Linked DNA regions of Macaca mulatta. The protein of the gene in region 4 interacts with the protein of the main gene of each other region in a biochemical or structural test. Links are inferred from orthologs where the notes say so. Each region holds a gene or a part of one and is shown on either strand. Other genes may lie near its edges. The genes, in order: AHR, GTF2B, BCL11B, NR2F1, SP1 and BCL11A.

Region 1 (3,711 bases), on a different chromosome or scaffold from region 4:
GAAGTTTATCTATATAGTTTACTTAAACAGGTTATATTACATAAGAATTTGAAACATGTACTACAGTGTATGCTGTTTTTTTCTGACATGTTCATAAGGAACTACAACTTACTCCGGATATGGGACTCAGCACAATAAAGCATATCAGCAGCATGAATAAACTGATACCCTGATCCTCTCGTGCACAGTTCTGCTTCAGTATATCCTAAAACAATTCTTCCTCTGTTTAAAATTTAAAAAGGTAAAATAAGAATGAATTATGATTTAACATAAATGAAATAACAAAGATAAATTCATTGGTTTTACGCTAGTTTCTGCAATGTTTTAGTTCACATTTAGAATTTCACATCAGTAAGTAGATATGAAATTAAACACATCTATGTAAACCGCTCTTCCTTGCTTATGATTGCAAATTTCAGTTTCAGCCTATTTTCTTTTCCTGAATAAAACCACGGAAATTAGTATGCTAAAACTGAATTGAATAGAGCAGATGTATGGGTAACAGAAAATCTTTAATATAAATCTGGAACGTTTTTATAATCTATTTTTAGGGAAGAAGGTTTTTCAAATTACCTCTCTGCATTCCCACATTAGAAAGGAGAAAAGCACTGATATGTTTTGATACGATATAAATGCTTAATATCGGACTCTTGCTCACAATTTTCTGAAAGTTACTGAAACTTCTGGGGCTAGAAATCAAATAACATTTGTGCCATTTAAAAACGTAAAACAAACCAACATAAATGTCATCAGAAGAACAAACCTTACTAATATATAAGAACATCATCATCTGAGACAAGTCTTGCAAAAAATTAAAAAGATGATTTGTGAGCCTGATGAAATTATTTTTACTGTAAAAGCCTACACTGAAAGAATAAAAGCTAATAGCCAATCTAATAATAAACAATATTACATACAGTCCACAATGTATGTTTTACATGCTAAGAGAGACTTACTGAAACATAATGTACATCTGACAGAATAAAAGTGAAAAAGTCTCACTTACTTGGCATCACAACCAATAGGTGTGAAGTCTAGTTTGTGTTTGGTTCTAAAGATAAAATTTTTGGTCCGGATTTCAAGTATGGATGGTGGCTGAAGTGGAGTAGCTATCGCAAACAAAGCCAACTGAGGTGGAAGTATTGATCCATCCTTCCCTTTCTTTTTCTGTCCATGAAGATACTTTAACCTCCCTTGGAAATTCATTGCCTTAAAATAATAACAACAAAAAAAGTTCATTAAAATTAAAAATATGAAAGTTCCTTTTAAAAAGGCTCCATTATGGCTGCTTCTAGGGTTCTTGATAATTCCATAAATATTCCTGAAGCTGAGAACTGTTAGTTTCTTTCATTCCTGTCTCCATGGGACACCCATTAAAACTATCCCAAAGAGTAATATGAGAAATATTCTAAAGGGATAAGTGAACCACTCCTTGTTCCTAAATGGTCATAACATGAATACCTATATAATTTTCCAAGCTTGCCATTACCCTATCATTTTCACCTCGCACAGCTCCTTGCACACCAGGCAATCAATATATCCTGAATGGTAATAAAGCCCTAAACATTCATTTTCAAGCATACATGAACTATATTGCAGCTCATAGCGTATTGCATAGTTCATAGTAATCTTTTCTATAGAGACAAAATATAATTTTATTAAAACACTAAAATGAATCATCATGAAAACATATAAAGAATGCAGAGCTCTACTGAGTAAATATATGGAATAAATTTAGAAGACAGGGAAAACAAAGGCAACTTAAACATGAACATGATATATTTAATTGGTTAAAACAGTATCAACCAGTCCAAGGGATGGTTCTGACATCAAAATAATAGCAGTGCAAGGAGGAAAAGACCCTCTTGCACACAGGTATTCCACCTCAGACATACAGTCACATGTCACTTAACAAAAGGGGCATGTTCTATGAAATGTGTCCTTAGGCAATTTCGTCATCCTGTGAACATCAGAGGGTAGGTACACAAACCTAGACAGTATACCTTACTATACATCTAAGCTATACAGTATAGCCTTTTGTTTCTAGGCTACAAACCTGTACAGCATGGTATCATACTGAATACTTTAAGTAATTGTAACACGGTAAGTATTTGTGTATCTAAACATAGAAAATACACAGTAAAAATAAAGTATAAAAAATGGTATACCTGTATAAGAGTACTTATTGTAAATAAGGCAGGCAGGACTGAAAGTTACTCTGGTTTAGTCAGTGAGTGAGTGGTGAGTGAATGTGAAGGCCTGAGACGTTACTGTACACTATTAGAGTTTATAAACACTATACACTCAGGCTACACTGAATTTATAAAAAATATTTTCCTTTAGGCCGGGCGCAGTGGCTCATGCCTGTAATCCCAGCACAACTTACTGTAACTTTTTTACTTTATAAACTTTGACACTTTTAACTGTTGACTCTTTTGTAATAACACTTAAACACAGTGTACAGCTACACAAAAATATTTTCTTTCTTTACATCCTTATACTATAAGCTTTCTCCCATTTTAAAAAAAATTTTTTTACATTTTACACTTTTGAGTTAAAACCTAAGACATAAACCCACACATTAGCTTAGGTCTGCACCGTGTGAGGATCATTAATGTTCCTATCTTCCACCTCTACATCTTGTCCCACTGGAAGGTCTGCAGGGGCAATAACATGCATGGAGCTGTCATCTCCTGTGATCTTCTTTTGGAATATTTCCTGAAGGACATGCCTGAGCCTGCTTTACAGTTAACCTTATTCTAAAATAATGATTAAAATAAAATCATTAAAAGTATAATAAATAAAAAAATAAAGTAAAATAATGATTAACAGTAAATACATAAATACATAGTGATTTATTACTTTCAAGTATTATGTGTCATACATAATTGTATGTGCTATACTTTTTATATGACTGGCAACACAGGTTTGCTTCCATCAGCATCACCATCAACATGTGAGTAATGCTATGACATCGTTAGGTGATAGGGATTTTTTGGCTCCATTATGATCTCATGGGACTACCATCATATACGTGGTCTGTTACTGACCAAAGCATCATTATGCAGCACATGACTCTACATACTAATTGTTCATGAGCAATAACACTGAGAAAACTACCTCAAAGCACAATTCTAATTCTGAGTCAGCAAAATCCTCTTCAGAAATAAACACATAAACCAAAATCATTGCTTGGTAATGCTTAATTTAAGATTTGATTACCTGTTTCAAATTCCTTGTTATTCACAAAAAGTATACAATATACTCTGTATTCTCTTCTCCTGTACTTGGTGACACAAACTAAGGATACAATGAGAGACAGAGAAGTCCACTCTGAGGAATCCTAGGCTGCTCCCTACAGCAAACTCCTATGCAGGTGTTCAGACTTTGCAACAAGAAACAGTGTCTCCTATCAGATGATGATTCTACAATTGCGAATATACAATCATTTTTCTATGTGGCAGTTATTTGAGACATATGGAAAGGCCATTCTTTTTCTGTCTAGCAGGCATTAAATCCTCCTATTAAAAAAGGGCTACATAATTCTCTCCTATCTTAAAAATCCTAAAATAGTCAAAACACAAGGCTTCATGTTATTTCACTCAATCTTTGTTATTATAGTCTAAAGAACAGTTTTCTGAATTATAGAGGATAGTCAAAATCAGAAATAATTATTTTAAAATGCTACCTTATCAAATTATTTGGTAGATT
Region 2 (3,711 bases), on a different chromosome or scaffold from region 4:
AAAACATTTTTTCTTAACATTTTGATGTTGAGGAACGATGTCTTAAATGTGGGTTTTTCTTTTTTTGAGATGGAGTCTTGCTCTGTTGCCCAGGCTGGAGTGCAATGGCACAATCTCGGCTCACTGTAACCTCCACCTCCCAGGTTCAAGCAATTCTCCTGCCTCAGCCTCCTAAGTAGCTGGGATTACAAGCCCCACCACCACACCCAGCTAATTTTTGTATTTTTAGTAGAGATGGGGTTTCAACCACGTTCATCAGAATGGTCTCGAACTCCTGACCTTAGGTGATCCACCCGCCTTGGCCTTCCAAAGTGCTGAGATTACAGGCATGAGTCCCTGTGCCCGGCCAAATGTGGGTTCTTGCTATTTACCTGGTTCAAACTTAAAATGGAAAAATAATCACATGCTGTGAATTTCACAGTTTACTGCCACACTTCCTGATGACGAACCCTACCTTTTTGGGTCCTCTTTTCAGCTGATGCCTGTGAGGCCATGTAAATGGCTGCCGCTGCCACAGAGATGGGGCTCCTCCCAGGAACCAAGTCCAATTCCACAGCTTTACGGGCTATATGGGTAGCTGCCATCTGCACTTGTTTAGGAAGACAAAGATTGGAACAGAATCTGGACATGAAGTCCCCAGTTGTAATCAAATCCACACTGGTTTCTAGTGCTTTCAAAATAAGTTTAAAACACCGACCAATTTCTTTCTTAGAAATTCGTGATACGGCACATATTTCTAAAAGAAAAAAAAATTAAATAAATCAATTCACTTAAGCCATATAGTTCATCTTAAAATCTACCATTTCTAATTATAAACATACATTCTAATTGTAAAACATTCAATCATGCCTTAAAGATAAAACCCTAATTCTCTCAGTGATACTCCCCCCCAGAGATAACTGCAAATTTCTCAGTTAACTTTAATGTTCATCACACTTTTTTTTTTTTTTTTTTAAGACGGAGTCTCACTCTGTTGCCCAGGCTAACAGCAGTGGCACGATCTCAGCCCGCTGCAACCTCCACCTCCTGGGCTCAAGTGATTCTCCTGCCTCGGCCTCCCGAGTAGCTGAGACTACAGGCGTGCACCACCATACCTGGCTAACTTTTGTATTTTTAGTAGAGACAGGGTTTCACTATGTTGGCCAGGCTTGTCTAAAACTCCTGACCTCAGGTGATCCTCCTGCATCGGCCTCCCAAAGTGCTGAGATTACACGCGTGAGCCACTGTGCCTGGCCTAATGTTCTTCACTCTTTAAATGTAGGGTTTTTGTTTGTTTTTTGAGATGAGGTCTCACTATGTTGTCCAGGCTGGAGTGCAGTGATGCCATCTCAGCTCACTGCAACCTCTGCTCCCCGGGTTCAAACGATTCTCCTGCCTCCTGAGTAGCTGGGATTACAGGCGCCTGCCACCGCACCTGGCTAATTTTTTGTATTTTTAGTAAAGATGGGGTTTCACCATCTTGGCCAGGCTGGTCTTGAACTCCTCACCTCGTGATCTACCTGCCTCGGCCTCACAAAGTGCTGAGATTACAGGTGTGAGTCACTGTGCCTGGCTAAATTTAGGTCTTAATCTTTCCAAATATTAACTGCTCTAAGGATTAATTCATTGCAAGTAAATTTCTTTAAATGAAAAATTGATATTTATACATTAACCTGTTGTAAGCAGTGTTATCAAGGAGCTGAAAGAAAATACTCAAGCTAAAGGATGCCTCTTAGGCAACACAGTGTCATGTGTACATAAAATCCCTGCAATTATGGGCTATATAGCTCGATGAGATAAAATATTTGACCCTGTTATTCCCAGATGCAACCACCATACACTTTCAGAAGAAATTTAACAAAAGCTCTGTTTTAATTATAAAAACAACAAAAAAGATGATGATAAAGGCCATCACCTCTTCACTTTTACATAAGAAAACATAAAAAATAAATACTCACTGGATGAATAAAGGGTTAAGTATAGTCTTCAGCTAACCTGAGCTTTGGTAGTGTAAGTCAGTGAGCAACACTGAACAAACTGTCACATATTCCCATGTAACTGCAAACTGTATGAAAAATACCAGTTCTTTCAAAGCCTCCAACTGAAGTGTAAAAATGCAAACAATACACCTCAAGAGAAAAAACTTCACTGATGCTTTCTTTAAATTTATTTTTGAGATGAAGTCTTGCTCTGTCGCCCAGGCTGGAGTGCAGTGGTGCAATCTTGGCTCACTGCAACCTCCGCCTCCCGAGTAGCTGGGACTACAGGCGTGCACCGCCATGCCTGGCTAATTTTTCTATTTTTAGTAGAGCCGGGGTTTCACCATATTGGCCAGGCTGGTCTTGAACTGCTGACCTCAGGTGATCCGCCTCGGCCTCCCAAACTGCTGGGATTACAGGTGTGACTCACCGTATCTGGCCTTCACTGATAACTTTCTAAAGCCTGACTCCCTCATCTACAGAGACTGGTGCTAGAAATGGAAACTGTTTTCATGTAAACCAAATGTGTAAATGGCCTACTTTGGTTTACCATTACAGGCCTGAAAGCCCACAAAATTTTAACAGTCCATCAAAAGATCTCACTAGCAAAGAACATAGTGGGCTTACATGGACTAAAATGAGTCTACGTGGGAAAACAGCCTAAAAGAACATTCTATGAATTTGCTGTCAAGGAACAAAATAAGTAGACACTGGCAAATGATGCTCAAGTGGATTACTGTAGTGACAATAAAGATGACTTAGCTTCTAAGTGTCAAAGCTGCCTGACATTGGTCTGTTTCTTTAATATGATGTAGAAAATGCTATTTTAGGCTGGGCACAGTGGCTCACGCCTGTTAATTCTAGCACTTTGGGAGGCCAAAGCGGGCAGATCACCTAAGGTTAGAAGTTTGAGACCAGCCTGGCCAACATGGCGAAATCCCGTCTCTACTAAAAATACAAAAGTTAGTCAGGTGTGGTGGCACGTGCCTGTAATCCTAGCTACTCAGGAAGCTGAGGCAGGAGTATAGCTTGAACATGGGAGGCGGAGGTTGCAGTGAGCCAAGATCGCACCACCGCACTCCAGCCTGGGTGACAGAGTGAGACTCCATCTCAACAAACCAACCAACCAACCAACCAACCAACCACAACAACAAAAAAACAACAAAAAAAAAGGTAAAAACTTACCTTTAAATGTCCTAGGAACCCCTTCTTGTCTACAGGCAATATAGAGACAAGCAGAAGCTATAGCATCATTAGCTCTTCCCTTCAGGCTCTTCTGTTCATATACTTGCTTGAATAAATTATTCGTTCGATCCTTCAAAGCAGAGAAACTAAGTTTAACTCTATGTCATTTAATTAGCTGCAATATCGAAATTTCATGTGTTCATTAAATTATGCAAAGTCAATGCCAGAATGGCTTAAAGGAGGTAGACAAGAACTTACAACTATATTTCGAGGTAGATTGATTCTATCTGCCATGGTAGTGATTTCTTTGAATGCATTCATCATTGCCCGATCAGAACTGCTCATTGTTCTCCGATTCTGGTACTTAGAATTGCCAAATTCATCAAAACTTGCAGCTCCTGTACCCTATAGAACAGTTAAAACTATGAAAAAACGTTTTGGAAAGTATGAATAATGGGACACTTTCTATGAAAATATAACTTACAAGATCTGATTCTATATAGACTAGAAATCTGAATTGTGCATCCTGCCCATCTATACTAAAGGAATATGTAATTCTAACAACTGT
Region 3 (3,711 bases), on a different chromosome or scaffold from region 4:
CCCATCCTGCGGGACCACCCCGGCTTCGGCGAGGGCCGCCTGCCGGGCACGCCGCCTCTCTTCAGCCCCCCGCCGCGCCACCACCTGGACCCGCACCGCCTCAGTGCCGAGGAGATGGGGCTCGTTGCCCAGCACCCCAGTGCCTTCGACCGAGTCATGCGCCTGAACCCCATGGCCATCGACTCGCCCGCCATGGACTTCTCGCGGCGGCTCCGCGAGCTGGCGGGCAACAGCTCCACACCGCCGCCCGTGTCCCCGGGCCGCGGAAACCCTATGCACCGGCTCCTGAACCCCTTCCAGCCCAGCCCCAAGTCCCCGTTCCTGAGCACGCCGCCGCTGCCGCCCATGCCCCCTGGCGGCACGCCGCCCCCGCAGCCGCCGGCCAAGAGCAAGTCGTGCGAGTTCTGCGGCAAGACCTTCAAGTTCCAGAGCAATCTCATTGTGCACAGGCGCAGTCACACGGGCGAGAAGCCCTACAAGTGCCAGCTGTGCGACCACGCATGCTCGCAGGCCAGCAAGCTCAAGCGCCACATGAAGACGCACATGCACAAGGCCGGCTCGCTGGCTGGCCGCTCCGACGACGGGCTCTCGGCCGCCAGCTCCCCCGAGCCCGGCACAAGCGAGCTGGCGGGCGAGGGCCTCAAGGCGGCCGATGGCGACTTCCGCCACCATGAGAGCGACCCGTCGCTGGGCCACGAGCCGGAGGAGGAGGACGAGGAGGAGGAGGAGGAAGAGGAGGAGTTGCTGCTGGAGAACGAGAGCCGGCCCGAGTCGAGCTTCAGCATGGACTCGGAGCTGAGCCGCAACCGCGAGAACGGCGGTGGCGGGGTGGCCGGGGTCCCGGGCGCGGGGGGCGGCGCGGCCAAGGCACTGGCTGACGAGAAGGCCCTGGTGCTGGGCAAGGTCATGGAGAACGTGGGCCTGGGCGCACTGCCGCAGTATGGCGAGCTCTTGGCCGACAAGCAGAAGCGCGGCGCCTTCCTGAAGCGCGCGGCTGGCGGCGGGGACGCGGGCGACGACGACGACGCGGGCGGCTGCGGGGACACGGGCGCGGGCGGCGCGGTCAACGGGCGCGGGGGCGGCTTCGCGCCGGGCACCGAGCCTTTCCCTGGGCTTTTCCCGCGCAAGCCCGCGCCGCTGCCCAGCCCGGGGCTCAACAGCGCCGCCAAGCGCATCAAGGTGGAGAAGGACCTGGAGCTGCCGCCCGCCGCGCTCATCCCGTCCGAGAACGTGTACTCGCAGTGGCTGGTGGGCTACGCGGCGTCGCGGCACTTCATGAAGGACCCCTTCCTGGGCTTCACGGACGCACGACAGTCGCCCTTCGCCACGTCGTCTGAGCACTCGTCCGAGAACGGCAGCCTGCGCTTCTCCACGCCGCCCGGGGACCTGCTGGACGGCGGCCTCTCGGGCCGCAGTGGCACGGCCAGCGGAGGCAGCACCCCGCACCTGGGCGGCCCCGGCCCCGGGCGGCCCAGCTCCAAGGAGGGCCGCCGCAGCGACACGTGCGAGTACTGCGGCAAGGTGTTCAAGAACTGCAGCAACCTGACGGTGCACAGGCGGAGCCACACCGGCGAGCGGCCTTACAAGTGCGAGCTGTGCAACTACGCATGCGCGCAGAGCAGCAAGCTCACGCGCCACATGAAGACGCACGGGCAGATCGGCAAGGAGGTGTACCGCTGCGACATCTGCCAGATGCCCTTCAGCGTCTACAGCACCCTGGAGAAACACATGAAAAAGTGGCACGGCGAGCACTTGCTGACTAACGACGTCAAAATCGAGCAGGCCGAGAGGAGCTAAGCGCGCGGGCCCTGGCGCCCCGCACCTGTACAGTGGAACCGTTGCCAACCGAGAGAATGCTGACCTGACTTGCCTCCGTGTCACCGCCACCCCGCACCCCGCGTGTCCCCGGGGCCCAGGGGAGGCGGCACTCCAACCTAACCTGTGTCTGCGAAGTCCTATGGAAACCCGAGGGTTGATTAAGGCAGTACAAATTGTGGAGCCTTTTAACTGTGCAATAATTTCTGTATTTATTGGGTTTTGTAATTTTTTTGGCATGTGCAGGTACTTTTTATTATTATTTTTTCTGTTTGAATTCCTTTAAGAGATTTTGTTGGGTATCCATCCCTTTATTTTTTTTTTTAAACCCGGTAGTAGCCTGAGCAATGACTCGCAAGCAATGTTAGAGGGGAAGCATATCTTTTAAATTATAATTTGGGGGGAGGGGTGGTGCTGCTTTTTTGAAATTTAAGCTAAGCATGTGTAATTTCTTGTGAAGAAGCCAACACTCAAATGACTTTTAAAGTTGTTTACTTTTTCATTCCTTCCTCTTTTTTTTTGTCCTGAAATAAAAAGTGGCATGCAGTTTTTAAAAAATTTTTTTTATTTTTATTTTTGTTTTTGGGGTGGGGGATGTGGATGTACAGCGGATAACAATCTTTAAAGTCGTAGCACTTTGTTTCAGAGTTGGAATGGAGATGGAGCACTCATGTCGTCCCAAGTAAAGCGGCCTTTTGTGTGTTGATTTCAGCTTTCATATTACATAAGGGAAGCCTTGAGTGGTGGTGCTAGAAGAGGCACCCCACAGACTCAGCACCGCCAGAGAGGATTTTGGAGGGCTCCTCTGGGAAATGGCCCGACAGCATTCTCAGGTTGTGCATGACCAGCAGATACTATCATTTTCTTGGAATATTGGCGTGCCCTGGGGTGCCATGGCTGCTATTCGCTGTAGATTAGGCTACATAAAATGGGCTGAGGGGTACCTTTTTGGGGAGATGGGGTGGCCTGCAGTGACACAAAAAGGAAGAAACTAGCGGTGTTCTTTTAGGCGTTTTCTGGCTTGACGGCTTCTCTCTTTATCACCCCCACCACATAAATCTCAAATCCTATGTTGCTACAAGGGGTCATTGATCATTTCCCAAGCAGACGAATGCCCTAATGAATTGGAGTTAGTGTTCTCTCATTTAATGCACACTGATGATACTGTAGGGATGGGTGGGGTGGGATCTTCCAAATTTCTATTCTCTGTTACTGAAAAAGCACGGGAGGAGTTCCATCAGAAGGTGCCCAGCGCTACTTCCCAGGTTTTTTTTGTTTTGTTTTGTTTTCTATCTCATTAGGTTGGAAGGTACTAAACATTGAACTGTTAAGATTAGACATTTGAATTCTGTTGACCCGCACTTTAAAGCTTTTGTTTGCATTTAAATTAAATGGCTTCTAAACAAGAAATTGCAGCATATTCTTCTCTTTGGCCCAGAGGTGGGTTAAACTGTAAGGGACAGCTGAGATTGAGTGTCAGTGTTGCTAAGCGTGGCATTCACAATACTGGCACTATAAAGAACAAAATAAAATAATAATTTATAGGACAGTTTTTCTACTGCCATTCAATTTGATGTGAGTGCCTTGAAAACTGATCTTCCTATTTGAGTCTCTTGAGACAAATGCAAAACTTTTTTTTTGAAATGAAAAGACTTTTTAAAAAAGTAAAACAAGAAAAGTACATTCTTTAGAAACTAACAAAGCCACATTTACTTTAAGTAAAAAAAAAAAAAAAATTCTGGTTGAAGATAGAGGATATGAAATGCCATAAGACCCAATCAAATGAAGAAATAAACCCAGCACAACCTTGGACATCCATTAGCTGAATTATCCTCAGCCCCTTTTGTTTTTGGGACAACGCTGCTTAGATATGGAGTGGAGGTGATTTACTGCTGA
Region 4 (4,311 bases):
CCCGTCCGCTAGGTGGCAGCCGGAGCCAGCGATTCTTGCAAGCCCCGCCGCGGGACCCGCTCCTCCCGCCTGCCCCTCCTCCCGCGACCAATCACCTTCGGGAATCGGGGTCTCGGTCTCTCTTTCTCTCTCTCTCCTCTCTCTCCTCTCTCTCCTCTCTCTCCTCTCTCTCCTCTCTCTCCTCTCTCTCCTCTCTCTCTCTTCTCTCTCTCTTCTCTCTCTCTCTCTCTCTCTCTCCCCGTCCCCTCTCATTCTCTCTCTCCTCTCTTCTCTCTCCCCTCTCTCTCCTCTCTCTCTCCTCTCTCAATGTCTCGCGCTCTCTCTCTCCTTTCGTCTCCTCTCTCTCCCTCCCCCTCCCCCTTTTCTCTCTCCCTCTCCGCCTCCCCCCCTCTCCATCTTCTCGTTTGTTTGCTCTTTTCCCGGGACTGATTTGGCCACACTAATCTCCCCCCACCCCGCAACAATATGGGGACTTACTACTGTTTTATTAATAATTATTGAAGCATTGTTGGAGTTTGGAACAGCCAGGTGATTTAAAAAAAAAAAAAAGAAGAAGAAGAAGAAGGAAAAACTGGATTGATTGGAAAGTTTATTTTTAAAATCGTCTTTGGGATAAATAGGAACCCTTGATTCCGATCGAATTTGTGGCAATAGCCGCAAATTCCAGGAGTGTGCTTTGTCGTCATTAAACCTTTTAAACCCAGGTATACTTTGGATCAAAAAATAGGGAGATCCTACCTTGTTTATAACAAGGATATAAAATGAGCAGAATCCAGACTTGGATTGTGCTTATATGTGAGAGAAGAAAACAATCCAAATCCAGTATATTTCACGAATCATTAAAATGGTGGGGGTTTCATTCCCGTTAAAATTTTTTCTAAACATTTTAAATGACACTCTCTTCACGCTCATAAAATCTAATTTTAAAAACTTTTCAGAAGAAATCAAAATAATTTCCTTCTAATTCTCCTTTTGCCCATCGCTAGGCGTTCTCCCCCCCTCGTCATCCCTTCCCCCTCTGGGGTGTATGCGTAAGTGTGTGTGTGTGTGTGTGTGTGTGTGTGTGTGTGTGACCATAGACGACCCATACTAATCAGGTCTCAGAGTAAATAGCAGCGCAGGGCGATCTCAATGTAAATTGCGCTTGTCAGAAACACACCCCCCTCCCTCACTTTCTCTCCTCCTCCCCACACCATCCCAGTCTGTAGGTAGCTAAGAGGGAGGGGGGAAAAAAAGAAAGAAAGCAGAAGAGGAGGGGGGAGGGGCTCTCCAACCAATGGCGTGCAGGAGGCTTGGCTAACCTTAGCCTCCCATTTTCTCTCCCCCCGATTCAGGGCTCTGACCAGTCAGTCGCCTTTGATTATCAGTTGCCAGCAGCCCTTCTCTTGGCTCCTTGACACGAGCTCCATATAAGGCAGCGATCTCCATAGAAACGTGTCAGTTTCAATAGTAGTGTCAAAGTTCACTATATACAGACATTCGCGCAGATCCCCCTTTCGGAAACATTGCTCTGCGAGTCCTCCCGTTTAAACGCATTCAATTTTTGGGTCTCTCTCTCTCTCTTCTCCTCTCTCTCTCTCTCTCTCTGTCTCTCTCTCTCTCTCTCCTCTCTTTCTCCCCCCTCTCTCTCCCTCCTCTCTTCTCTCTCCTCTCTTCTCTGAACCTCTCTTCTCTCTCCTTTCTCTTTTCTTACATATTCTACTAGTTGTTTTCCCCTTCTTCTCCTTCTTTCTCTCCTTTTTCTCCCTCCTCGTCTCTTTTACTCCATTCCTGCAGAAGAGAGAGGGCTAAACTTAAAGAAAAAAAAAGGAGGAGGAGGAGGAGGAGGAGGCACCCCCTTCGTATTCTTCTTATCGTTATTTTATACATATATGATTTTTTTTGGAGGGAGGGTGTTGGTTCCCGGCTGAAGAGCACTTATTTAAAATACTAAAAAAAGAACATTTTTGGGCGATCTCCAGGGTTTTTTTAACTAGCTCTGTGTGTTATAGCAGAAGAAGCAGAAGAAGGAGCAAGAAAGAGGAAAAGAAGAGGATTATTTATTCGACCTACTTTGGATGTCTCTCTCGCTTTTCCTTTTTCCTTTTTTTGGCAATTATTTTCTTCTGATTTTTATTTTTTCTATTTCGCTGTGAATTCGTCGCCGGCGTGAATTATCCCGTATTTTTTTCCCCCTTCCGTCACCTCCCGAAAGAAGAAGGCAGCTAGAGCCCGGCGCCACCGGCACAACAAAAAGAGCAAAGTGTGTGATCTTCCTCGCCGGCTGCCTCCCGCTCTCCAGCGCTGCCTTCCTGAATGGCTGGCTGCGTCCGGCCCTGGACCTGGCCCCCCGACACCCGCGCGCCCTGATCGCCGCCGGCAGCCTCGCCCAGCGCCCTGCTCGGCTCACCGCGCTCCCTGCACTCCCGAGCCCGGCGAGGGCTCCCGCCGGGACAGCAGCGGCGGCGGCGCGGGCGGCCCCGGCCTCCGCTCGCGCTCCGGCTGCGGCCCCGACTCCTGCTCGGACTCCGGCCCGGGCCCGGGCTCCTCCAGCGGCGCTCGCCGCAGCAGCTCCGGCGGCAGCTCCAGCGGCGCCTGCAGCCGCGACCTCCTCCTCCGCCGCCGCCGCCGCCGCCTCCGCCCTCGCCGGCTTCCTCTATGTCGGCTCAGCCAGCGCGCTGCGCGTAGCCCGAGCGGCCGGCGGGCGGGCGGGCGGGCGCCCGGCGCGGGTGAGCGAGTGTGTGTGCGAGTGTGTGTGTGCGCGGGGGTGCGGGCGAGGCGGAGGGCGAGTCTGTGCGCGCGCCGTGGCCCATGCCCGCCGCCCCCGGCGCTGCGCCCCGCGCCGCTCCCGGCTGCCGCCTGTGCCATTTCTGATTTTGCAACTTGGGGAAGAAGAAAAAAGCGAGAGAAGGGAGCTTGCTCGCCGGGGGGTGGGGAGGGGGGAAGGAGAGCGCGGCCCCCCCAGGAACGGAGCGCGGGGGGAGCGGGCGAGGGGAGCAGGGGTGTTGGGGGGGGAGCCTGAGAGCCTGGGGGGGCTGCAAAAAGAGAGAAAGAAAACAGCAGGAACCACAACAAAACGCCAGCAGGGCGGGCGGGCGCGCAGCAGCAGCGGGGCGGCCGAGGCAGTAGCGGCGGCAGCGGCGGCGGCGGCGGAGGCAGCGGCCGGTGCCCGGCTCGGGCTCGGCTCCTGCGACCCCGGGGCGCCCGGCGGGCCCCCCGCCCCCTCCCCCTCCCCCCTTCCCCTTCCCCTTCCCCTCCCAGCGCGCCGGCGCGCCCCGCGGCCCTCGGCGAGCAGCTCGGCTCCCCCCAGCGCTCCCCGGGCCCAAAGATATGGCAATGGTAGTTAGCAGCTGGCGAGATCCGCAGGACGACGTGGCCGGGGGCAACCCCGGCGGCCCCAACCCCGCAGCGCAGGCGGCCCGCGGCGGCGGCGGCGGCGCCGGCGAGCAGCAGCAGCAGGCGGGCTCGGGCGCGCCGCACACGCCGCAGACCCCGGGCCAGCCCGGAGCGCCCGCCACCCCCGGCACGGCGGGGGACAAGGGCCAGGGCCCGCCCGGTTCGGGCCAGAGCCAGCAGCACATCGAGTGCGTGGTGTGCGGGGACAAGTCGAGCGGCAAGCACTACGGCCAATTCACCTGCGAGGGCTGCAAAAGTTTCTTCAAGAGGAGCGTCCGCAGGAACTTAACTTACACATGCCGTGCCAACAGGAACTGTCCCATCGACCAGCACCACCGCAACCAGTGCCAATACTGCCGCCTCAAGAAGTGCCTCAAAGTGGGCATGAGGCGGGAAGGTGAATATTTCTTCTCTGCTTCTCTCCCCGCGCTTCGCCCGCCTCCCTGGCTCTTTCTTTCTTTCTCGCCCGGGTGGTTGCTGTGTGGGGCTGGGGCTCCTGTGGTCCCGGCCTGTCCCAGCTTCCCTTCTCCCCGCTGCCTTCCTCCCCCGGCGTCTCCCCCCGCCCTCCCCAGCTCACTGCCGCTGCCTCCCCCTCCCGGCCTGCGCTCCTCTCCCCGGCTCCCCCACCCCGCCCGCTGCCTGCTCAGGATTGTGTCCCTGAGATCGTGAGCTGTGGCTTAAAATCCCCCTTCTTCCCTCTGTCTTGGATGTGCTCGGTGTGTCTCTTTCCCGCGTGTGCGTGAGGCTGCTTGGGGCTGTGCTGGCATGAACTTGGGGAGGGGTGCTTATTTCCCCCAGAAAACTCTGTTTCTGTGTTTTTTTCATTACACTTTTCCCTCCACCTCTTCATACCCTTTATTTAAAATGGGGGAGGGTTGGGGTTGGAGTACCCTGAACCATAGATTCATTGCTGCCATCATCCTTTTGGAAGCTTAG
Region 5 (3,711 bases), on a different chromosome or scaffold from region 4:
GCAAAACCAGACATCTGGAGGCTCACTGCAAGCAGGTCAGCAAAAAGAAGGAGAGCAAAACCAGCAGACACAGCAGCAACAAATTCTTATCCAGCCTCAGCTAGTTCAAGGGGGACAGGCCCTCCAGGCCCTCCAAGCAGCACCATTGTCAGGGCAGACCTTTACAACTCAAGCTATCTCCCAAGAAACCCTCCAGAACCTCCAGCTTCAGGCTGTTCCAAACTCTGGTCCCATCATCATCCGGACACCAACAGTGGGGCCCAACGGACAGGTCAGTTGGCAGACTCTACAGCTGCAGAACCTCCAAGTTCAGAACCCACAAGCCCAGACAATCACCTTAGCCCCAATGCAGGGTGTTTCTTTGGGACAGACCAGCAGCAGCAGCACCACTCTTACACCCATTGCCTCAGCTGCTTCCATTCCTGCTGGCACAGTCACTGTGAATGCTGCTCAACTCTCCTCCATGCCAGGCCTCCAGACCATTAACCTCAGTGCATTGGGTACTTCAGGAATCCAGGTGCACCCAATTCAAGGCCTGCCGTTGGCTATAGCAAATGCTCCAGGTAAGCTTTCCGATCTTTTGCATTTATTGGGAACCAACCCTAGCATCTTAGCTGAAACTTGAGTCTAAATAAGGGAATAGAGCTTTTTGAGATAACACTTTCTTGAGGGCTAGTCATATAGGCAAATAAATTTGAGAAATAGAGATTCTGCTTAAGTAATTTGGAACTGAAGTAAAGGAAACTTCTCCAGTTAGTTTGATGAGAAAGGAGCACTTCTGGGCAATATTTTGGAGTCTGTGTACTACTCAGTGTTTTTGGTGCTGCAGAATAAGGGTTGACAAACTTTTTCTGTAAAGGGCCAGATAGTAAATATTTTAGGCTTTGTGGGCCTCATGTGGTCACGTTTTCTTTTCTGTTTTCTTTTTTTTTTTTTTTGAGATAGAGGCTTGCTCTGTTACCCAGGCTGGAGTGCAGTGATGCAGTCTCGGCTCACTGCAACCTCTGCCTCTCGGGTTCAAGCGATTCTCCTGCCTCAGCTTCTTGAGTAGCTGGGATTGCAGACAAACGCCACCATGCCCAGCTAATTTTTGTATTTGTAGTAGAGACGAGGTTTTGCTGTGTTGGCTAGGCTGGTCTCAAACTCCTGACCTCAGGTGATCCACCTGCCTCAGCCTCCCAAAGTGCTGGGATTACAGGTACGAGCCCCTGCGCCTAGCCACATTTTCTTTTTTGTATGTTTTTTTCCGCACCCTTTTAAAAATGTAAAACCATTTTTAGCTCTAAGGCCTTCTTTGGCCTGTAGGCCAACTCCTCCATAGGATAAAAATTGATTATGGGCCGGGCACGATGGCTCACTCCTGTAATTCAGGCACTTTGGGAAGACGAGGCAGGTGGATGGGTAGAGTTCAGGAGTTCAAGACCAGACTGGGCAACATGGCGAAACCCTGTCCAACAAAAAATACAAAAATTGGCCAGGCATGGTGGTACATGCCTATGGTCCCAGCTACTCGGGAGGCTAAGGCATGAGAATCGCTTGAATCCGGGAGGCAGAGGTTGCAGTGAGCCAAAATTGCACCACTGCACTCCAGCCTGGGCTACAGAGTGAGACTCTGAAAAAAAAAAACCAAAATGTAGTCGGGCGGCTGAGCACGGTGGCTCATGCCTGTAATCCCAGCACTTTGAGAGGCCGAGATGGGTCGATCACCTGAGGTCAGGAGTTCATGACCAGCATGGCCAACATGGCAAAACCCCTTCTCTACTAAAAATACAAACAATTAGCCGGGCATGGTGATGCGCACCTGTAGTCCCAGCCACTCAGGAAGCTGAGGCCAAGAATTACTTGAACCTGGGAGGCAGAGGCTACAGTGAGCTGAAATCACATCATTGCACTCCAGCCTGGTTGACAGAGCAAGACCCTGTCTCAGAAAATAAAAATAAAAAATTTGATTATGAGCTGGGTGCGGTGGCTCATACCTATAGTCCCAGCACTTTGGGAGGCCGAGGTGGACGGATCATGAAGTCAGGAGTTCAAGACCAGCCTGACCAATATGGTGAACCCCGTCTCTACTAAAAATACAAAAATTAGCCAGACGTGGTGGCACAAACCTGTAGTCCCAGCTACTTGGGAGGCTGAGGCAGGAGAATCTCTCCAACCTGGGAGGCAGAGGTTGCAGTAAGCCAAGATCGTGCCACTGCACTCCAGCCTGAGCGACAGAGCAAGACTCCATCTCCAAAAAAAAAAAAAAAAATTGATTATGAATTTTGCCCGTTTGTAGAACACAGATTATCATCAGATATTTCTTGTGAACTGTAACTCCTAATTGAAGGGAAAATGATCTAATGGGTTGCTTTTCAACAAAATAAGTTCCCTGGTTAGTATTAACCAGAATATCCCACACTGAGCATGCTGGTTAATCAGGGTTGAATTTTTTTTAACTCCTAGTTATCTTAAAAACAAAATCCCATAGCTTCCCTTCACACTAACATATGAGTGTCCTAGGTGATTCTGGTATTTCCTAGGTAGCAGTCTAACTTCCTAGTCTGCTTTGAAAGTACTGTGTATGGTTAGGAAGGGAGGAGAGAGAAAGGGAGTGGGGTAAGTTGGGGTCTGGAATGGAGTGGGGGATGTGGGATTGAGAAGAGTTAGGAATGAGGAGAGCATTGAAGGGAAAAATAATCTGGGAAGAATATTGAATCGGTTGACCATGGTGTTCAGGGTCTTTCATTTTGAACTAAATGTTTCACTATTAATTTGAAATTAAAACAGTAAGCAGGTGTAAGTCTATGTAGACCGTGTCTTTTTTTTTTTTTTCGTTTTTGAGACTGAGTCTTGCTCTGTTGCCCAGGCTGTAGTGGAGTGGTGCAATCTCTGCTCACTGCAACCTCCGCGTCGTGGGTTCCAGTGATTCTGCTGCCTCAGCCTCCCAAGTAGCTGGGATTACAGGCGCGAGCCACCATGCCTGCCTAATTTTTGTATGTTTAGTAGAGACGGGGTTTCACTGTGTTGGCCAGTCTGGTCTTGAACTCCTGACCTCAAGTGATCTGCCCGCCTCGGCCTCCCAAAGTGCTGGGATTATAGGTGTGAGCCACCACGACCTGCCTGACTGTAACATTTTAAATTCCGTTGTATGGAGCTGATCTTTAATAAAGCACAGTAAAAGGATATACACACATTTTTATATTCTGGCACAGTTATACAAATATGGAAAATAGTTCAATGTCACCAAATAATATCACGCAACTTCTAGTTCTTTCTTTTTTTTTTTTTTTCGTTTTCTTTTTTGGGATTGAGTCTTGCCTGTCTCCCAGGCTGGAGTGCAGTGGTATGATCTTGGCTCACTGCAACCTCTGCCTCCCGGGTTCAAGCAATTCTCCTGCCTCAGCCTCCCGAGTAGCTGGGGTTACAGGCGCACGCCACCATGCCTACTAATTTTTTGTATTTTTTTTAGTAGAGGTGGGGTTTCATCATGTTGGCCAGGCTGGTCCCGAACTCCTGACTTCGTGATCCACCTGCCTTGGCTTCCCAAAGTGCTGGGATTACAGGCGTGAGCCACCGCACCTGGCCACTTCTAGTTCTTTTGGCATATATATGTGGGTTTATAAATTGTTTACTTTTGTTACCAAGTTCTCATTCCATTTAGACTGATTCTTACATAAGTGAGGGTAACAAATAGGCGACCATATTTCCTGCCTCTTGCAGTTTTGGTAA
Region 6 (3,711 bases), on a different chromosome or scaffold from region 4:
TGTGTGCCAGTCACCCCTGCTCTTTCACTACAGCCTCCTTTTGGCCTGGGTTAAGGCCTGGACTGGGACCTTCCTCTGGAAGCCGTGCGGGGTGTGTAATGTGGTTAGTCATTACCCTCAGTAATTAATCACCCCTGGTAGTAATGAAAATTCACATTCATGTTGGACCTGATAGTTTACAGAGGGCTTTTATATACTTCTGTCATTTGAACCTCCCAACAATTCTTTACAGGTACTGTTTTTATGCTCATTTTACAGATAGGAATTCTAAGACTCAGAGAAATCAAATGACTATCCCAGAGTTACAAGCTGGTGAATAATAGAGCTAGGGCTCTAGTCTCAGGCCTCCTTGTTCTTCTGAATCTTGAGCCTTAGATCACATGACTTTTTCACATTGGTGACATACTAGAAATGGGGGTCATTCCTTCCTATAAAGTAAAATGAAATAAGATAAAAGTCAGTAGGTGGGCTAATAGCTGATTTTAACCCTTTTGGTGCCTCAAGTTCCTATGCTTAGGGGCCAGGTGTCAGTTTATTGCTCTAAATCAAAACAATCCCTGTAAATGCCCAATGAGGCTCTCAAATTGAGAAGTTGATTTTCATCAGAGTAAATGAAGAATATTATTATATTTTACACATCAATAAATCAATGTAGCCCTAATTTTGCCACACAGGAAATCAATTCTGGTCTTTCTAAATCATCAAAGATGTTATGAACAAAGTAATTTCACAAATTATGGCAAGTAACACATTTATTGATGACTGCAGTTTAGGAATTTAGAATCTGTGAGCACTGTAATATAATATGGTACACCGGCACGAGCTGAGTGAAATACAGATTATATGGTGAAATTGTAATGCATCATTTGCTATTAGTGGACTGGTAATAATTACCAGTTTCAAAGCAGCTCTCTCCATGTAATCTTTAGTCTCAATCGTAACAGCCCTTCTCATTGACATTATGATTACACTAGCTGCCCTCATGATCTAGAATATCTAGTTGATGGGAATACTAAAATGCGATAGTGAAAACTGTATGTTGTATGCTCATTATAAGATAAAATGCCATTTTCTCTGACCTGATGTATGAGAGAGAGGGAGGATAACATCACAGTGTTAACATACTGTAGCATGATCACATAACTAGCTCTGAAAAAAAGTTTAGGACGTTCAGGGCAGCAAAATAAAATGGACTTTTCTCATTTAAGCCTTTTTGAAAGGATACAAATGAGATCCTTGATGTAGTGCTGTATGCCACAGATTTTGGCATTTATCAATGACTACATTCATGGCACATGTGAAACCAGCACCACTAATTATGAGTCCAGTCCTGGATTTCTATCGATTTTTTTATAAGGTAAAATATAATTTTAAGGCATTTGGAGTGATGAACGTGTTAAGGACTTGCATTATCAGACAAATCTTTTTACTTGCCCAACTCAGATTGTCGGGCTACATGGGTATGATAGTCATGCAGAGACCTAGGGAGGACAAGGAGGAAGCCACAGAGGATCATGTAGTTGGAACCAGATAATTTTTTTTCCAGCCTATTTGGGACTCAAGTCATTGTTCAACAACAACAAAAAATTTATGAAAATGCTGTCAATGAAGCTTTTTATTTCCCTTTGAAGAGAGGAGGCAAACAAAAATAGGCAGATAATGTGATACTAATGTCAGCGTTTTCTTTCAAAATCTTTCTGCCTTTTTTCCCCCTTCCACATTAGACAAATGTTTGAAATCTAATTTTGGTATCTTACCATCTAATCTTGTTTAAGAGATTTACCCAGGAGTGGGATATATTGAGTGGGATTATAAATGCATTGTAAAGTAAATTACAAGGTCAGGGCAGGAGTCCATTATTGAGACAAGTGCTTGAGCAAGGCTGGCTTGTTTTGGAATACCAGTGTTTGGGGGCTCCTGAGAAGACCCTGCCAGCTTTTCTTTCTGACTTGCTAAATGGAGGCATCATATAATTGATTAATTCCTCATTCTCACTATTAACCTCCCTGGTAGATTTTTATTTTTTTTCCCTTCTTAGAAAGTTAACTGACAAATACTAGCTGTGGCCTTAAGGAACTCTTGTAGCCTTTCTTTTAAAAGAAGGAGAAAAGTTTGTTATTTCTCAGTTGTATTTTAAGGTTTTTTTCAGAATCCATGGGAAGTTTTCTGTTTTTCTCATCCTTGTCCTTTGGCTACCATTACTTCTGCCCTTTTTAATGTTGTACTTGACTAGTAAACTGTTGGTTAGTTATTCCATATATATATATATTTAATTTAGCTATCTCCCCATATATATTTAATTTAGCCATCTCCCCAAATGAAAGATTTTGTGAAGTCAAGCTGGCCCTTCTTTGCCAAAGTGGCATTTACCACTCTTGGGTTCTTTTCGGCAAGGGAAATAATGTGACTTAAGCAGGGCCCCTCTCCAGACGGCTTGGCTACTGGCCAGAGTTGACTAGCTGAACTGTATCTTTCTGTTTCTTTCTCAACTGGAGCTGAGTCTCAGCCGAGGGCGCAGGATGTTGTATAATTTGGTTCACGTTGTTAGCCTCTCAAAATAATGAGGAGGAGGATAGTGTAGCATTTCTCAGCCTGCTGCCTGTCATGGTGCTGGCTGCTTTAACTGTTCCTTAAACTAGGATGCTGTGTCTGCTTAAGTCGGCACCAGCCACTCCTCCTAACTTTTCCAGACTTGCATTTGTCTGACTGGGGGACAACTCCTAAAGATTGGATACAGCCTATCCATTAGATCTGAATGAAGTTTTTCTTTCAGATTTTTAAACATTCTTTGAGATAAAAATGGGCGTTCCCATGGGGTGTTGTGGAACCAAAATTGGGACTCACTGATCCTCCCACAGTCTGGGATGTGAGAATGTTGCTAGTCTTTTTTCCATGGAAGTATTTTATGAGTACCCTCTCATTTTAACAATATCAACAATTAGTGTGTTTCAGACTAAGACTGAAAGCATCTCTAGGGCCATATAACATTGTAGTGAGTTGACCTTCTCCCCTTTTTTTGAATCTCTATGAAATGTTTGCCTATTTAGAAAGTTCACCTGCCACCCAGGGGGGAATAGAAAGCTGGGATTTAGGAAGCCAAAAAGTTTCCTTGGGTCACCTTGTCCAAGTTTCTCACTTAACAAAGAGGAAACAGAGGCACATGGAGATGAGATGGCTTGCCCCAAATTACAGCTGATGGGACTGGAAAGTTTAGAAGACATTTGTTTAGGTGCCTAGAATGTAGGGACCTTCATTCTCAAGCCAGAACTGGCCAGGATTTTTCTGCTTTGGGGACTGGATATCAAATTCCTAGAACTGAGTTTAATGGCAGGAAGACTGATTGGACCAATATTTACTGGGTACCCATGCTCAGACGTGCCAGGCACAGGAGTAGGTCAGTGAGGGTTTAGGGCTTGGGGTTGAGGGGTGGGGGCAGGGAAGGCTGGAGGTGGAACATAAATAAGCAATTGCTGATGCCCGCCTCAGTGATTAAACATTGATGTTGGTGTTGTATTATTTTGCAGGTAAAGATGAGCCCAGCAGCTACACATGTACAACTTGCAAACAGCCATTCACCAGTGCATGGTTTCTCTTGCAACACGCACAGAACACTCATGGATTAAGAATCTACTTAGAAAGCGAACACGGAAGTCCCCTGACCCCGCGGGTTGGTATCCCTTCAGGACTAGGTGCAGAATGTCCTTCCCAGCC

Evidence for each region.
Region 1: the proteins of NR2F1 (region 4) and AHR form a complex in vitro, tested with the Homo sapiens proteins (2 studies listed by BioGRID). The link is inferred for Macaca mulatta from reciprocal best matches to the Homo sapiens genes NR2F1 and AHR.
Region 2: the proteins of NR2F1 (region 4) and GTF2B form a complex in vitro, tested with the Homo sapiens proteins (2 studies listed by BioGRID and IntAct). The link is inferred for Macaca mulatta from reciprocal best matches to the Homo sapiens genes NR2F1 and GTF2B.
Region 3: the proteins of NR2F1 (region 4) and BCL11B form a complex in vitro, tested with the Homo sapiens proteins (2 studies listed by BioGRID). The link is inferred for Macaca mulatta from reciprocal best matches to the Homo sapiens genes NR2F1 and BCL11B.
Region 5: the proteins of NR2F1 (region 4) and SP1 form a complex in vitro, tested with the Homo sapiens proteins (2 studies listed by BioGRID). The link is inferred for Macaca mulatta from reciprocal best matches to the Homo sapiens genes NR2F1 and SP1.
Region 6: the proteins of NR2F1 (region 4) and BCL11A form a complex in vitro, tested with the Homo sapiens proteins (2 studies listed by BioGRID). The link is inferred for Macaca mulatta from reciprocal best matches to the Homo sapiens genes NR2F1 and BCL11A.

Annotation. Positions count from the first base shown.
Region 1 is NC_133408.1:110,933,184-110,936,894, forward strand, and holds part of AHR (aryl hydrocarbon receptor), read right to left. Parts: intron 1,210-3,711; coding exon 1,007-1,209; intron 223-1,006; coding exon 113-222; intron 1-112. UniProt on the Homo sapiens protein: Ligand-activated transcription factor that enables cells to adapt to changing conditions by sensing compounds from the environment, diet, microbiome and cellular metabolism, and which plays important roles in development, immunity and cancer.
Region 2 is NC_133406.1:151,744,217-151,747,927, reverse strand, and holds part of GTF2B (transcription initiation factor IIB), read right to left. Parts: intron 3,549-3,711; coding exon 3,402-3,548; intron 3,274-3,401; coding exon 3,144-3,273; intron 737-3,143; coding exon 455-736; intron 1-454. UniProt on the Homo sapiens protein: General transcription factor that plays a role in transcription initiation by RNA polymerase II (Pol II). Involved in the pre-initiation complex (PIC) formation and Pol II recruitment at promoter DNA.
Region 3 is NC_133412.1:172,492,478-172,496,188, reverse strand, and holds part of BCL11B (B-cell lymphoma/leukemia 11B), read left to right. Parts: coding exon 1-1,797; 3' UTR 1,798-3,711. UniProt on the Homo sapiens protein: Key regulator of both differentiation and survival of T-lymphocytes during thymocyte development in mammals.
Region 4 is NC_133411.1:99,957,523-99,961,833, forward strand, and holds the start of NR2F1 (COUP transcription factor 1), read left to right. Parts: upstream 1-1,500; 5' UTR 1,501-3,309; coding exon 3,310-3,772; intron 3,773-4,311. UniProt on the Homo sapiens protein: Coup (chicken ovalbumin upstream promoter) transcription factor binds to the ovalbumin promoter and, in conjunction with another protein (S300-II) stimulates initiation of transcription. Binds to both direct repeats and palindromes of the 5'-AGGTCA-3' motif.
Region 5 is NC_133416.1:60,530,076-60,533,786, forward strand, and holds part of SP1 (transcription factor Sp1), read left to right. Parts: coding exon 1-563; intron 564-3,711. UniProt on the Homo sapiens protein: Transcription factor that can activate or repress transcription in response to physiological and pathological stimuli.
Region 6 is NC_133418.1:64,327,894-64,331,604, forward strand, and holds part of BCL11A (BCL11 transcription factor A), read left to right. Parts: intron 1-3,524; coding exon 3,525-3,711. UniProt on the Homo sapiens protein: Transcription factor. Associated with the BAF SWI/SNF chromatin remodeling complex. Binds to the 5'-TGACCA-3' sequence motif in regulatory regions of target genes, including a distal promoter of the HBG1 hemoglobin subunit gamma-1 gene.